3 linked regions of the Oryzias latipes genome follow. The protein of the gene in region 1 interacts with the protein of each later gene in a biochemical or structural test. Links are inferred from orthologs where the notes say so. Each region holds a gene or a part of one and is shown in the gene's direction. Other genes may lie near its edges.

Region 1 (3,537 bases):
AACCGTCACCAAAACCTAAACCTTCCACCGGGTCTGTGCGGCCCAGAGAAAAGTTCAGCACGGACTGCATGTATGTAGAAAATTACGAGCGAATAGATACGTTCTAAAAAGGAAAGTAAGGAAGTCCTTCATGTGGTCTGGGGAGGGGGCTGTCAGGTTTCCTGCTTTCAAACCCGGTCAATGTCACGCCCCCAAGAGTCATTTACCCCACTGTGATTGGTTGGTCAGCTCCGTGCACGACGATGAAAAAGTGTCTTTCATACAAACTGGCGGGCTGCAGTAACATTAAACTTTAATATTAAGGCGGGGACCGCAAAATATCATCTTGGGGGCCGCAAATAGCCCGCGGGCCGCGAGCTTGAGATCCCTGCTGTACACTCTGACACTGGTACACTAGCCGCAGGTCGGAAGAACAAATCAATAGTTCGCTTATTCATAGCTCAGACGCACATGATGAGGTTGTGATATTTGTCTCCGTTTCCTTCCCACAGATGTTTACGCGCGCTCTATTATCTCGATTATCCCCTCCACGCATTTTAGCCACTCACAGTGGCTTTCCCTATTCTTCTCACACGCAGTGGCCGCCTCACAGACAGGTATCACGCGAGTGTGTGCTCGCGTTTCATGAGTATGTGCGCGAGTGTGTGTGTCTGCCTGCGTGCGTGTGCGCTCGCGTCTCATTGATTATTTCATTGATCATTGACGTGCCCCTTCCACGTTTGATGTATAAAAAAATACGTAGGGTGGGGGAGGCAAATTTACTGGTCGCGCATGTGCGACTGGATGTAAAATTCAGTCGCACACTCTCAAATTTTGGTCGCAAAATGCGACCAATTGGTCGCAGTCTGGAGCCCTGCAGAAAATAATAGGTCCCAGTTCTGTGTGCACACAAGGGTAATTCATTTCCCAACATCACTAATAAATAAAGCTGATTGCATTATAAATAAGTGTCATCTTCCATAATTGTACAATTGTAAGCAAAATTGGTTCATGATCAAAATAACAATGAAATATAAACTTATTCATTAACCAGTTCATTTATCATATTAATCACAATTTAAAATGCAAAATGCTAATACACAATGACACGTCATGATCAATCCATCAATTCAAAAGTTCTGACCAACATGTGGACCATAAAAATTCATGCATGTAACAATATCACAGTCAATAGAAAATTGGCTATAAGTTACGTTTCAAATAAATTAACATTTGGAGAAAGTTGGTTTAAACACATTGCTAACCGCTCCATGTAAAGTAATGGAACGGCTAAGCTAACAATAGCTCACTCACCAGTTCTGTTTTCTTAGTTTCGTATTGCACGCTCGTCTCCGGACAAATCGGCACCAGTAGTCGGCTCCTATGTTCCGATGTTAGTAGCGTTAGTTTTCGGATTGTTTAAAGTGAAATGACTAAGACGAAATCAGTTAACGTACCTCCAGTTAAACACCCGAAACTTCCCCAGACGCTTCTTCCGGCAACCTACCCGTCACATGACTGTGTGACGCTACGACGCACGCAGTGTGGTGTCGTCGTCACGCAAGAGATGCGAGAGGAGACTAACGCAGTTTCTCACCCGGGTTATAACTATCTGTGTGTAGCTTTGGCATCTTGCCACTGGACCCCAGCCCAGGAGAACCCACATACCTGCAGAACTTCTCGGCTACCATGGAAACACAGACTACAACTCCCAGCAAGAAGGTACCTGCAATTTTTTGGTCAATATTTCTGCTGTTTTCTGCTGGTGCTAATTCTATTACCTGCATTTTATCTCTTCACCCAACCTCTCCTGTTTTTAGTGGGTTTGAACCATATTTTTCTGTACTTGTATCAATTCACCTGACCTTACCTGTCTTTACTTGTCTTCACCTGTGTTCCTCCTCCAGTCTGTGTCCAGGATCAGTCAGTCCAAGTCTGTCTTCAGTCAGAGTGGAAACAGTAGAGATGTTCTTCCCATTCCCTTTAACCAGTCACAGACCTCTGCACCTCACACCAGGTAAGACTCACAGATGCCAAGGGATTGGATCTGGGAGCTCTGTCTGAATGTCGTCTCTTTCTCTTTGTCAGTGGGTCCCCTCAGGTCCTTAGTCCTAGCATGTCTGGCCCTCCTAATGTTCAGCCCAGAAGAAGCTCGAGACTCTTCACCAGTGCCAGTTCAACTGCCAAGGTGTGCCTGTTAGTGCCCCACAGGTGTGCTTCTTCAGTGCATGCAGACTCACCGCTGTCTGTTTCTGCAGGAGAACAGTAAGAAGCTGAAGATGAAGTTTCCCACCAAGATCCCCAATAGGAAGACCAAGTGTAAATCTGCAAAGACCTCTAACAGCAGCAATCTGAACGAAAGTCTGGACATCCTGCGGCTGGACCCCAGTCTGAGCCTGCCGGATGCCAGGATTCCCCCCTACCAGCGGGCAGCTGCAGGTACTAAAGGGGCATGGTCAGCTACAGTAATATTGCTCTTTGAAGGCCCAGACTGTCTCAAAGAGACATAAGCCTTGTTCTACAAACAAAAACCTTTGGCACATTGACAAATAGACTAAGTAGAAACTGTTCTACTTAGTTTCTTTACTCTGGTTGTGGTGTGTTTCCGATCTTGTTCTGTTTGTGTTCAGACAGTGTAATGGCGTTGCTGAGAGACTTCGGGCGGGGCTACCAGGCGCTGTGCTCCTACAGCTGCAGAGAAGCCATCAACATACTAACCTCGCTACCCCCCCAGCACTACAACACTGGCTGGGTGCTTACTCACATTGGAAAAGCCTACTTTGAGCTGGCCGAGTACACACAGGTAACTCTCTGGATACACTGGCTTACCTTTATTGAGACCTGGTCATGTGATCTGTGCAGTGGGGGGGTTCCAACTGACCAGCATGTGCCTTCAGGCAGAGCGTCTGTTCAGTGAGGTTCGACGGATTGAGTCATACCGGGTGGAGGGAATGGAAATCTACTCCACCACACTGTGGCACCTGCAGAAAGATGTTGCCCTATCTGCTCTGTCCAAAGATCTCACTGATATGGACAAGAACTGCCCCGAGGTGAGAGGCACCACCCTCCGTCAATAGGCAAGTCAGCGGATGAAGATGTTCCCTGATTGGCTGGTCTGTGTCTGCAGGCCTGGTGTGTAGCAGGAAACTGCTTCAGTCTTCAGAGAGAGCACGACATCGCTATCAAGTTCTTCCAGAGAGCCATTCAGGTGAGCTGCTACAGACAGGTGAGGGCCATTAGCCACAATATTGCTGTGGGGACTTTTACAACTGCAGAATACTAGAACCAGAATCTTATATCTGTTAATTATACAGGGCCTATATCATGCACATCCCACTTTTTTGAGCTTTTAAGTGTATTATATTTATTCCTCACTAAAAACAACCTCAAAGTTGTATTTGGATCTTTTCATGCATTTTGGGGATTCCTCTAAAACCCTCTCTCTGAGCTCCAGCCCATCCGAGCCCACAAAACGAGTTTTTCACATTGTGACATCACAAAGTGAGGAACAGCCCCTTCTAGGAAGAATCTTCACTGCCAGCTCCGCCCCTAGGCTAA
Region 2 (4,058 bases), on another chromosome or scaffold:
CAACCTTGCTATTCTAAGCACTCCCTCTGGACTAAGTGGTTTCCTTTCTCCCTTAAAAAAAAGAGCAGCACACTTTGTCCTAGCATAGCTTTAAAACCGCTTGTTTATATGCATTACTACTAAGTAATAGTAACCAAGAAATATTGTTTACTTTTAGACAACGCCCGTTGAAAGTTAACGGGATTTACATGACAGAACAGAACGGAAATGAACACTGAAGCTGAGCTGAAATGGGGGCGTTCAGAATGAATGGCCTACGGGGGGATTTGTATTGATTAAACCTTTTAAATATACGACATTTTTGTTACGACGGCAATGAAAAACTAATAATTCTACCAGGCGCAGTTTCGTTAATGAGATAATTAAGCTAGCTGTAACCAGCATGGAGATAAAGGCGTTGTTCTCGATTAAGAATACAATACAAAAGCTAAGACCAGGTACTCCTATCTACAATTTTACAAAGGCACAGCTCTAAATGAATATCCAAAGCATATTTGGGGTGTTTTGGTCAATACAGTGACATTACACTGGTTTAGCTATGATGCCGCGAATTTCTGAAAGGCACAAAAAATGCGGGGAGTTCCTTATTAACACCTAATTCCATCTAACATATCCTTGACGCACATTAAACGTAAAACTAATTCATATTTAGGCTGATGGATGCGTTTAAAAGTAAAACAGAAGACTTACAGCTTGCCTTGCTATCTCGGTCGAAGCCATGATGCTTTCTGTTAGCTCTCCCTCAACTGTCCTCTTTCAGCAGCCCTGCTGAACAGTTAACGTTCCTCAGAAAGATGGCCTGTTTGGAATGTACCATTGAATCTACGGAGTTAATCATGTAGAGAACACGTAGCTTTGCTTTTGCGTCTTGATTACAACAATAGGTACTAGGGAAAAAAAGACATATAACTGCAGTTTATCTTTAAGACGGATTTATTTATAGAAAAATAAACACATAAGATAAAGAAAGATGGTGCAGACATGGTTTCGTCCGATAGAACGCTAGTAAATGGAAGTCAGCAAGCAATAAAAAAATAAAATAAAAGGGGAATAATTAGCATGAATAATTATCCAGTTTATGAATATGGGCAATTTTTGTTAGTTTGGTATTGACTAAATGATTATTTTTTTTCGATAATATGCCCAATTCTGTTCATACAACGCTTTGAAATGAGACACGGGTGAAATTAATTCATGCCAGTCACGTGGGGTACAACGACCAATCATAATCACTGCCCAACGACAGTCACGAGGGCTACAACGACCAATGGAATGAAGTGAACGGATTTAAAAACAAAGGTGCGGAAGCTGTTGTAGCTAGATAAAAAACAAAAAGCAGGATAAAGACGATAAAGCCTTCGGATTGAGACCAAGAACTATTGTTCTTTGAGGTTACTAACACTAAGGTAAATAGACGTGAAAGTAACCGTTGGTTTATCATTCCAAGATTTTACGTAAATGGGCAATTTTTTTTAAACCGTACGTTGCACGACAAACTGCTAACGATAATTTTTAAACCGTACGTAACGTTGCATGACAAACAAAGTTAACCGCTAACAATAATGTAGCATTGGACAAATCTCTGCTGTTTACATTATTGTCAGTAAATGTAAATAAATATTTGTTGTCTGAACTAAATTATTCTGAACTTAATCATTTTCCAAATGGGAAATGTATCCATTATTTTGTAAATAATTGCATAGTTGTTAGATGAAAACAAAATGTCTACTTTAGCTTAGTTTAGTTTTGGGCCTGACAATACATAATCTTCTTCTTAATGCTAAACATCAGCACCAATTAGCAGAAAGCCTTTTTGATGTAAAAAAAAAATAAATAAATCCGTAATTGAACCTCAAAATGCCTGAATTGTGGGGAAACAAAATGAGAATAGCCAACTCTGTTAGTCTACTTATGAATTTCAAAGTGCACCTTTTTTTTCCCCCTTTTCTTTCAATAAATTAAGTTATATTTTTATGAATTTGTGTATATAAAACCCCATTTAAAGTAATTGAAAGTTTTTTGAAACCAAATGTTTTTCTTTTTTTACCTTTTAGCCAAGATGGCAAATGTCATCTTCACCGAACAGGAGAATGTTTGCCTCCGTCCCTCTTCCCTGAAAATGCGTCAGAGGCTTCTGTCTGCTCCAGGTATTAAAAACATGTTCAACTGTTTCAGATTATCTTTGTGGAACTCTGCATGATCCTCCTTTTTATTCTCGCTCTCTATAACCAGAAAAACAGTTGAAGTCTCCAATGTTGGTCAAAAATACCCCTGTCCATTCAGCGCGTAAGGCTTTTGGGGTGGTGAACAAAAAGATCTTAACCCCTTCTTTGAGTACACAAGAGAAAAAAGTTTTAAAACCACAGGTAAAAATAAACACTAATGACAAATGGATTTATTTCAGCAAAAGGCTATTCTGTTGTTTCTGTGTGTCCATATTGCCCTTCTTCTCAATAGGAAGTCAAGGTCGAGCATCCTTCTGAAGCCAAAGGGGAGGAATACCCAAAAATGGAAAATTTTATTCCTTACAACCCTCTAGGTAATGTCATGTTTGTTTGGTTTGCAGGCAAATTATGCTTTTAAGAGGTTTTTTTTTTTTTTTTTTAAACCAAGATGTTTAGTAGTTCCACATTTCCGCTGGTCGTGCTGCAGCTGTATGCCATCTGAAAGTCTTTACTGCTAATGTCACATCATTTCATAGCCACCATGTTTACAATATCCACTCTTATCACTGAGCATAATCAACGGGCACAGCGTCTTTCTGCTCATGAGTGGTGGTTGTTCAAGTAAAAGCAACAAAATGTAATGATGTGAAAGAATTGGAAGTGGCTCAGTGGCCTTGTGGTAGTGTCCACTGTGTTAAACGGCTCCCATGTGTGGCTGTGTCTTTTCTGACTTCTTTGGTTTTAAAGGGGCTTATTCACAGTCTGGGAAATTTTTCACCCATTCCTGAGTTTCTTCATATTTTCAGAGTTTGAGAAGTACAGCATACCCGAGGACTTCATTCCTTTCAGTGGCCTGGCTCTACCCGGATTGGCCTGTTTTACCTCGCCTCTTCTTGAGGAAGACCTGGAAAAGATTCAGCCTCTCCCAGACCCTTCACCTGCAAAAGGGTGCAGATTTCCAGGTATGGTTCTCCTTTATACGTCTGATAAATCTCCTATTTTCAGGAGCTTACAGAGGAAATCACTCTGTTGCAACAAAGGGAAATGCAACAGAACGCCACATGGTGCTTTAAATAAGTAATAAATACTAGGAAAAAGTAATCGTGTCATGTTTTTCAAAATTAGACAGAAAATATTTTAACTTTGAGGTTTGCTTTACTGTTAAAACAAAAAACTTCAAACCATTTGTACACAGATCTAGTAACTTTGGAGTCAACATGTTCGTTTTTTTTCTCTTTTCTTTTGGGGATACAAAATAAACTAGTTTGAATTTTCATTTACTCAGCTCTGTTGCAAAGAACCTGTTTGGCTCCTCAGTGCCCTTGGGGAAACACAGACTGGATTCTTGTCGAATGATCCCAAACTGTAACGTAATAGGAAAGCTTTCCCCCTAAACTACAATGCTGTTCCCTGTTACCTGTTAATCCTTTTAGTGTTGAACAGTTCAAACTATGATCAGACCTGTAGGTTACTCATTAACTGAATCATGTGACTTCCAACAAATGCCACTTGTTATGGCTGTTATTGTTGGAAAGTGTGCCTGTTGGCAGGAAAGCCTTCATAAACTCCTCTTCATTTTCCTTTTTAGATCACAGCTTGGAGCTGGATGCCTTCCTACAAACCCTTGAAGAGCTGACTGTTGAATTCCCCCCAGAACCGCTTACTGACTGCTGATGCCTGTTTGTTAAATGGCTGTTTTTATTATTTGTGTTGAAATAAAGTTTTCTTGGCAACATCTGTGGTCCAGAGTGTGTGTGTGTGTGTGATGGAATGGCTGCAAAAGTGTCAGGGGAGTGAACCTGAACTACTTCCTGCTTTAAACTCCAGCTGTGGTCACGTGTTGGGAGTCTTCTGAAGAGGATCTGCTTCATTAGAATGAACTTTTTCAGTTCC
Region 3 (4,297 bases), on another chromosome or scaffold:
ATTAGATCTGTCCCTCCGTCCAGTTCTGATCCAGATTCCAGCTCAGAGCAGGAAAACACAGACGTTCATGGATCTGTTGGTCTGCATCAGAATGGAGCAGAGCTGGGAGCTGGTCACTTGCTGTCTGTAGTCTCTATAATAACTACAAAATTTTAAAATGGCAGTTTTTGTCTGCTCCTAATTCACCATATGTTGAATAAAGAAATACTCAAAAATGCAGTTTTAATGTTATTTTTCTATGTCCTCTATCATGAGAAACATGAGATTTTTTTCAGGAGAAATGTGCTACAAAACATGCTATAATTCCATAAAATAAAATTAATATAAAATACATATTTTGTTTAAGTGGGGCTTTAACTGCTTTTTTCATCTAAATCTTATTTTACTTACTTATTTACCGCAATGATTTGATTATTATGTCAGCGGTCACTAGAGGAAACAACACCGTCAATACAGAGTCGACACAGTCTGGGTAATATGTCAATACACTCATCCTCATCCATCACTACTAAGTATACTTGTAGTAAACTGAAATAGGCTAATATTTGCTAAGGAATTCCATGACATAACCCTGACCATCGGGCTCCATCGATTAAACTGTTGCTAGTTTTCAAGGAGCGGTTTTGTCTTCTAAGAACTTTGTCTCCTCTCGGCTGCCGTTGCTGCGTAGTGATTGGTCGAGAGAAAAGTATGGCGGCGTCTCAGTAGCTGCATAAACGACTTCAGGAAAATCTACCGCCAGACTCTGGATCAACCGTCAAAAGAGTATCTTTAATGTGGATTATTTCTGTGTTGTCATTCTAAGACGGTAAAGGACTGAAACAAACAGAGTCGTGTTTATCCGCTGAACGGCTAACAGCTGGAAGCGTCACATCTCATCTGAACAAGTGAGTTTCTCAGCGAAGAATCGACTTAAAAGCTTTATTTTTATTATTTGGTTTTAGATTAAAGGGTTATGATTTCCTGTATTGATGTTGGCTGAAAAATCTTTTCTTTCTTTCGTTTGATTTATAGTAGAAACGGTTAAAAAATGGACGTAACATTTTTGAAATAAAAATGAATGATACAAAAAAAAAACACAGTTAGTGGATTGATTATATTGTTTGCATTAATTGTTATTATTTTCCTGACTTGTTTTGTTGGTTTGGGCTATTTGCTTTTTAATATGACAGAGGTATGTAAATCTAAGAGGTGTCGTGTTTCATCTGAAAAGCCACCTGCTGTATGTTCCATCTGATCAAATATACAGGAAATGAAGAACAAGAACAGGCTGAATGAATAATGGAGTCATGTTCTGCAGGTCATGTCAGCTGGACAGATTCAGAATACCAACCATTGAGATTTTTAAAAGGTGGAACTGTCCCAGAAGAGCATCGTCCAGTCATTGTCGGCGCCGCTCCACCTGCGGGCCGCTCCACCTACATCCACTTCACCTGTGGGCCGCTCCACCTGCGGGCCGCTCCACCTGCGGGCCGCTCCACCTGCGGGCCGCTCCACCTGCGTTCCTTTCACCTGTGGGCCGCTCCACCTGTGGGCCGCTCCACCTGCGGGCTGCATCATGCCAGCCTTCCGGCAGGTAGGGGAGAAGCAGCTTCCAAACCCTGTTCTGTGTATGGCCTGGTCTCCAAAGAGGGATCTGATCGCTTTGGCCAACACGGCTGGAGAGGTGAGCTTCAGCTCCTGAAAACCCTCTTACTCTTTATGCTGGTTTTTTATCCAAAGTTGAATGTTTTGATTTTCATAGCTGCTGCTGCATCGCTTAGCAAGTTTCCAGCGGGTTTGGAGTTTACCACCTACTGAACGCACCGGGAAAGAGATCACGGCGCTTGCCTGGAGACCAGATGGCAAAAGTAAGGGTGGACTCGACATATTTCAACTTGAATGTGAGGATTTTATACTCTGCTCATCCATTTGATCTCCAGCACTGGCCTTCAGTCTCGGAGACACAAAGCAGATCGTCCTTTGTGGGGTTGAGAAGGCAGAAATCCTTCACGTGTTCCCAGTGCAGAGCGCCGTCACCTGCATGCACTGGATGGAGGTCGTGGATGAGAGCAGGTGAAGAGAGGCTCAAGGGATATCCATGCTTTAACCAAACAGACAGGAATCATATTAAGTTATCGTTCTCTACCTTCCAGCTCCCTCAGCTCTTTCTACAGCTCAGAGGATGAATCCAAACTTTTTCTCCCAAAAATCCCAACCCTTCCAAAAAGGTAAAGCCATGAAGACGTGCATTGCTTCAAATCTCATCTACTGGCAATCTCCATGCAGTCATTGTTTTTCCTCCACAGCTACAGCACAACTTCAAAGATCTTCAGGTGAGACACCATTCATGATGAATGTTTGGAAGCGTTTGAATTTTTCCTGAGTGTTCTTCCCTCTGTCACAGTGAAGAGAAGTCAGATGAAATACTCAATCTCTTGGGAGATGCCAGGTAAAAAAACAAGGTGACAGTTTTTGAGGATTGAATGAAAATGGTTCCACGACTGTAAGAGTGATTTTTTTTTTTTTTCCTTGCAGACTGAATGTTCTTGTTCTTGGAGGAGATTCTGGCTTTGTGGAGCTTTATGCTTATGGGATGTATAAGATAGCAGCTGTGGATGGGGTAAGAAAGCTTTCTTGACATTGTAACAAACAATTAAAAGTGACCAAAGAGGGGTTTTACTTGTATTACAGATTTAATTGGTAGTAATCCTGAAATGCCTGGAGATTGAACTGTTTTTCTTGGATTTATCCTGCTGTGCAGGTGACTGGAACGTGCCGCAATCTGTGTCTATCCAGTGATCTCAGGTCTCTGTCTGTCATCGCAGAGGTCAGGTCTGCTGACAATAACCCAGAGATCTGCTACATCCAGGTGAGGTGATCCACTCTGGTTCTCTCTGAGTATCTATGCTCTGTTTGTGTTCCTAATGCGTCCTCCTTGCCCGTCAGCTGGACACAGGCCTGCTGTCTGACTGCCTGCCTGAGGTCACCCGGATGGCGCTGAAGTTCACCTTCATCTCCACGCTGCTGCAGTACCTGCATCTCTCTCTGACGTGTATGTGTGAGGCGTGGGAGGACATCCTCATGCAGATGGACCTTCGGCTCACCAAGTTTGTTCAGGTTTGTTTGGTAAAGAAATGCCTTTCTCTGGAGGAAGAATCAAACATTTGAGCGCATATTGGCTTAGTACGGTGGCCCTGATGTGCAAATCACATCAACAAATCTCTCACCAGAAAATCATGGTAAATGAAAAAAGCAGACCAAATAATAATAAGGTGGGTATCAGGGGACGTCTCTGATTGGATGATGATGTTTGTTCACCTTTTTGGCGGGAAGTTCTTTGTCATGGCGATCTCTTCCATCAGAGGAGATTTCTTTAAGCTTCTGGCCACGCCCACTGCACACGTTTGCTGATTGTTTAATCAGCTGTTTGCCACAGTTCAGGTGAAACCTTCTTCTGCGTTTCCTCTTCTTCACAACTCAAATGTCATCATCCAATCAGCAATGCCTCAAAGGACCTGCCTCTTCTGGTTTCTCTAGTTCTTTTTTAATTTTAACATTAACTTATGGAAACTCCTTTTTTCTGAATCTTTTTGTTTACATTTCAGTCTCCTGAATTTTGTTTTGATTTCCAAAAGATGATGTTTTTTAGTTTTGCTTTGTTAACTGTCATTCTGGTCTTAACATGCGTTTGTGTTAATGTGATTGGGACCTCAGGGCCACCATACTCAGGGTCATGTCTTCTGTGTTCCCAGGAAAAGAACACGAGCACTCAGGTTCAGGATGAGTTTCTGGAGCTCCTGCTGTGGGGACAGTCCAGGTGGAAAGCAAACCTCCTTTGTTGTCTTCATGGTTGAACTGTATTGCCTGGACCGTCCTGTGGATGGTAGCAGTGAGTAAGGAATTGTTTTAACTGTTTTTTCATCCTTTCCAGTCCTGAACTTCAGGCTCTCCTCATGAACCAGCTGACTGTAAAGGTGAGGAGAGGTGAGTTCAGACTCCACCTCCTTCTGAGGACTTGAGACTGAAATCTTTCCGTTCCTTCACCCTTTAGGGTCTGAAGAAGCTTGGCCAGTCTATCGAGTCTTCTTACTCCAGCATCCAGAAGCTGGTGATCAGTCACCTGCAGAGGTTCGCTCCCCCTTCTGTCCTCAGGTCAGTGCTCCTCCTCATGCTCCTCATGCTCCTCTCTTCTGCCTCCTGCAGTGGCTCCGAGGCTCTGCTGTACCATCTCAGTGAGGTGAGAGGGATGTCTCTGTGGAGGCAGAAGTTTGAGCCCCTGGGCTTAGATTCTGCTGCTATAGAAGGTACGAGTTCA

Evidence for each region.
Region 2: the proteins of cdc27 (region 1) and pttg1 form a complex in vitro, tested with the Homo sapiens proteins (3 studies listed by BioGRID). The link is inferred for Oryzias latipes from reciprocal best matches to the Homo sapiens genes CDC27 and PTTG1.
Region 3: the proteins of cdc27 (region 1) and anapc4 form a complex in vitro, tested with the Homo sapiens proteins (2 studies listed by BioGRID). The link is inferred for Oryzias latipes from reciprocal best matches to the Homo sapiens genes CDC27 and ANAPC4.

Annotation. Positions count from the first base shown.
Region 1 is NC_019866.2:96,483-100,019, forward strand, and holds part of cdc27 (cell division cycle protein 27 homolog), read left to right. Parts: intron 1-1,601; coding exon 1,602-1,701; intron 1,702-1,886; coding exon 1,887-1,996; intron 1,997-2,067; coding exon 2,068-2,167; intron 2,168-2,237; coding exon 2,238-2,418; intron 2,419-2,609; coding exon 2,610-2,782; intron 2,783-2,876; coding exon 2,877-3,029; intron 3,030-3,106; coding exon 3,107-3,187; intron 3,188-3,537. UniProt on the Homo sapiens protein: Component of the anaphase promoting complex/cyclosome (APC/C), a cell cycle-regulated E3 ubiquitin ligase that controls progression through mitosis and the G1 phase of the cell cycle.
Region 2 is NC_019868.2:9,721,939-9,725,996, forward strand, and holds pttg1 (securin), read left to right. Parts: upstream 1-1,236; 5' UTR 1,237-1,299; exon of another isoform or gene 1,300-1,406; intron 1,407-2,054; 5' UTR 2,055-2,059; coding exon 2,060-2,147; intron 2,148-2,232; coding exon 2,233-2,366; intron 2,367-2,457; coding exon 2,458-2,539; intron 2,540-2,971; coding exon 2,972-3,127; intron 3,128-3,753; coding exon 3,754-3,839; 3' UTR 3,840-3,900; downstream 3,901-4,058. Other genes in the region: sept6 (septin-6), read right to left, coding at 691-720. UniProt on the Homo sapiens protein: Regulatory protein, which plays a central role in chromosome stability, in the p53/TP53 pathway, and DNA repair. Probably acts by blocking the action of key proteins.
Region 3 is NC_019862.2:1,185,708-1,190,004, forward strand, and holds the start of anapc4 (anaphase-promoting complex subunit 4), read left to right. Parts: upstream 1-1,496; 5' UTR 1,497-1,558; coding exon 1,559-1,666; intron 1,667-1,744; coding exon 1,745-1,850; intron 1,851-1,922; coding exon 1,923-2,055; intron 2,056-2,135; coding exon 2,136-2,210; intron 2,211-2,288; coding exon 2,289-2,315; intron 2,316-2,386; coding exon 2,387-2,431; intron 2,432-2,517; coding exon 2,518-2,602; intron 2,603-2,743; coding exon 2,744-2,851; intron 2,852-2,928; coding exon 2,929-3,099; intron 3,100-3,734; coding exon 3,735-3,799; intron 3,800-3,913; coding exon 3,914-3,956; intron 3,957-4,033; coding exon 4,034-4,110; intron 4,111-4,185; coding exon 4,186-4,286; intron 4,287-4,297. UniProt on the Homo sapiens protein: Component of the anaphase promoting complex/cyclosome (APC/C), a cell cycle-regulated E3 ubiquitin ligase that controls progression through mitosis and the G1 phase of the cell cycle.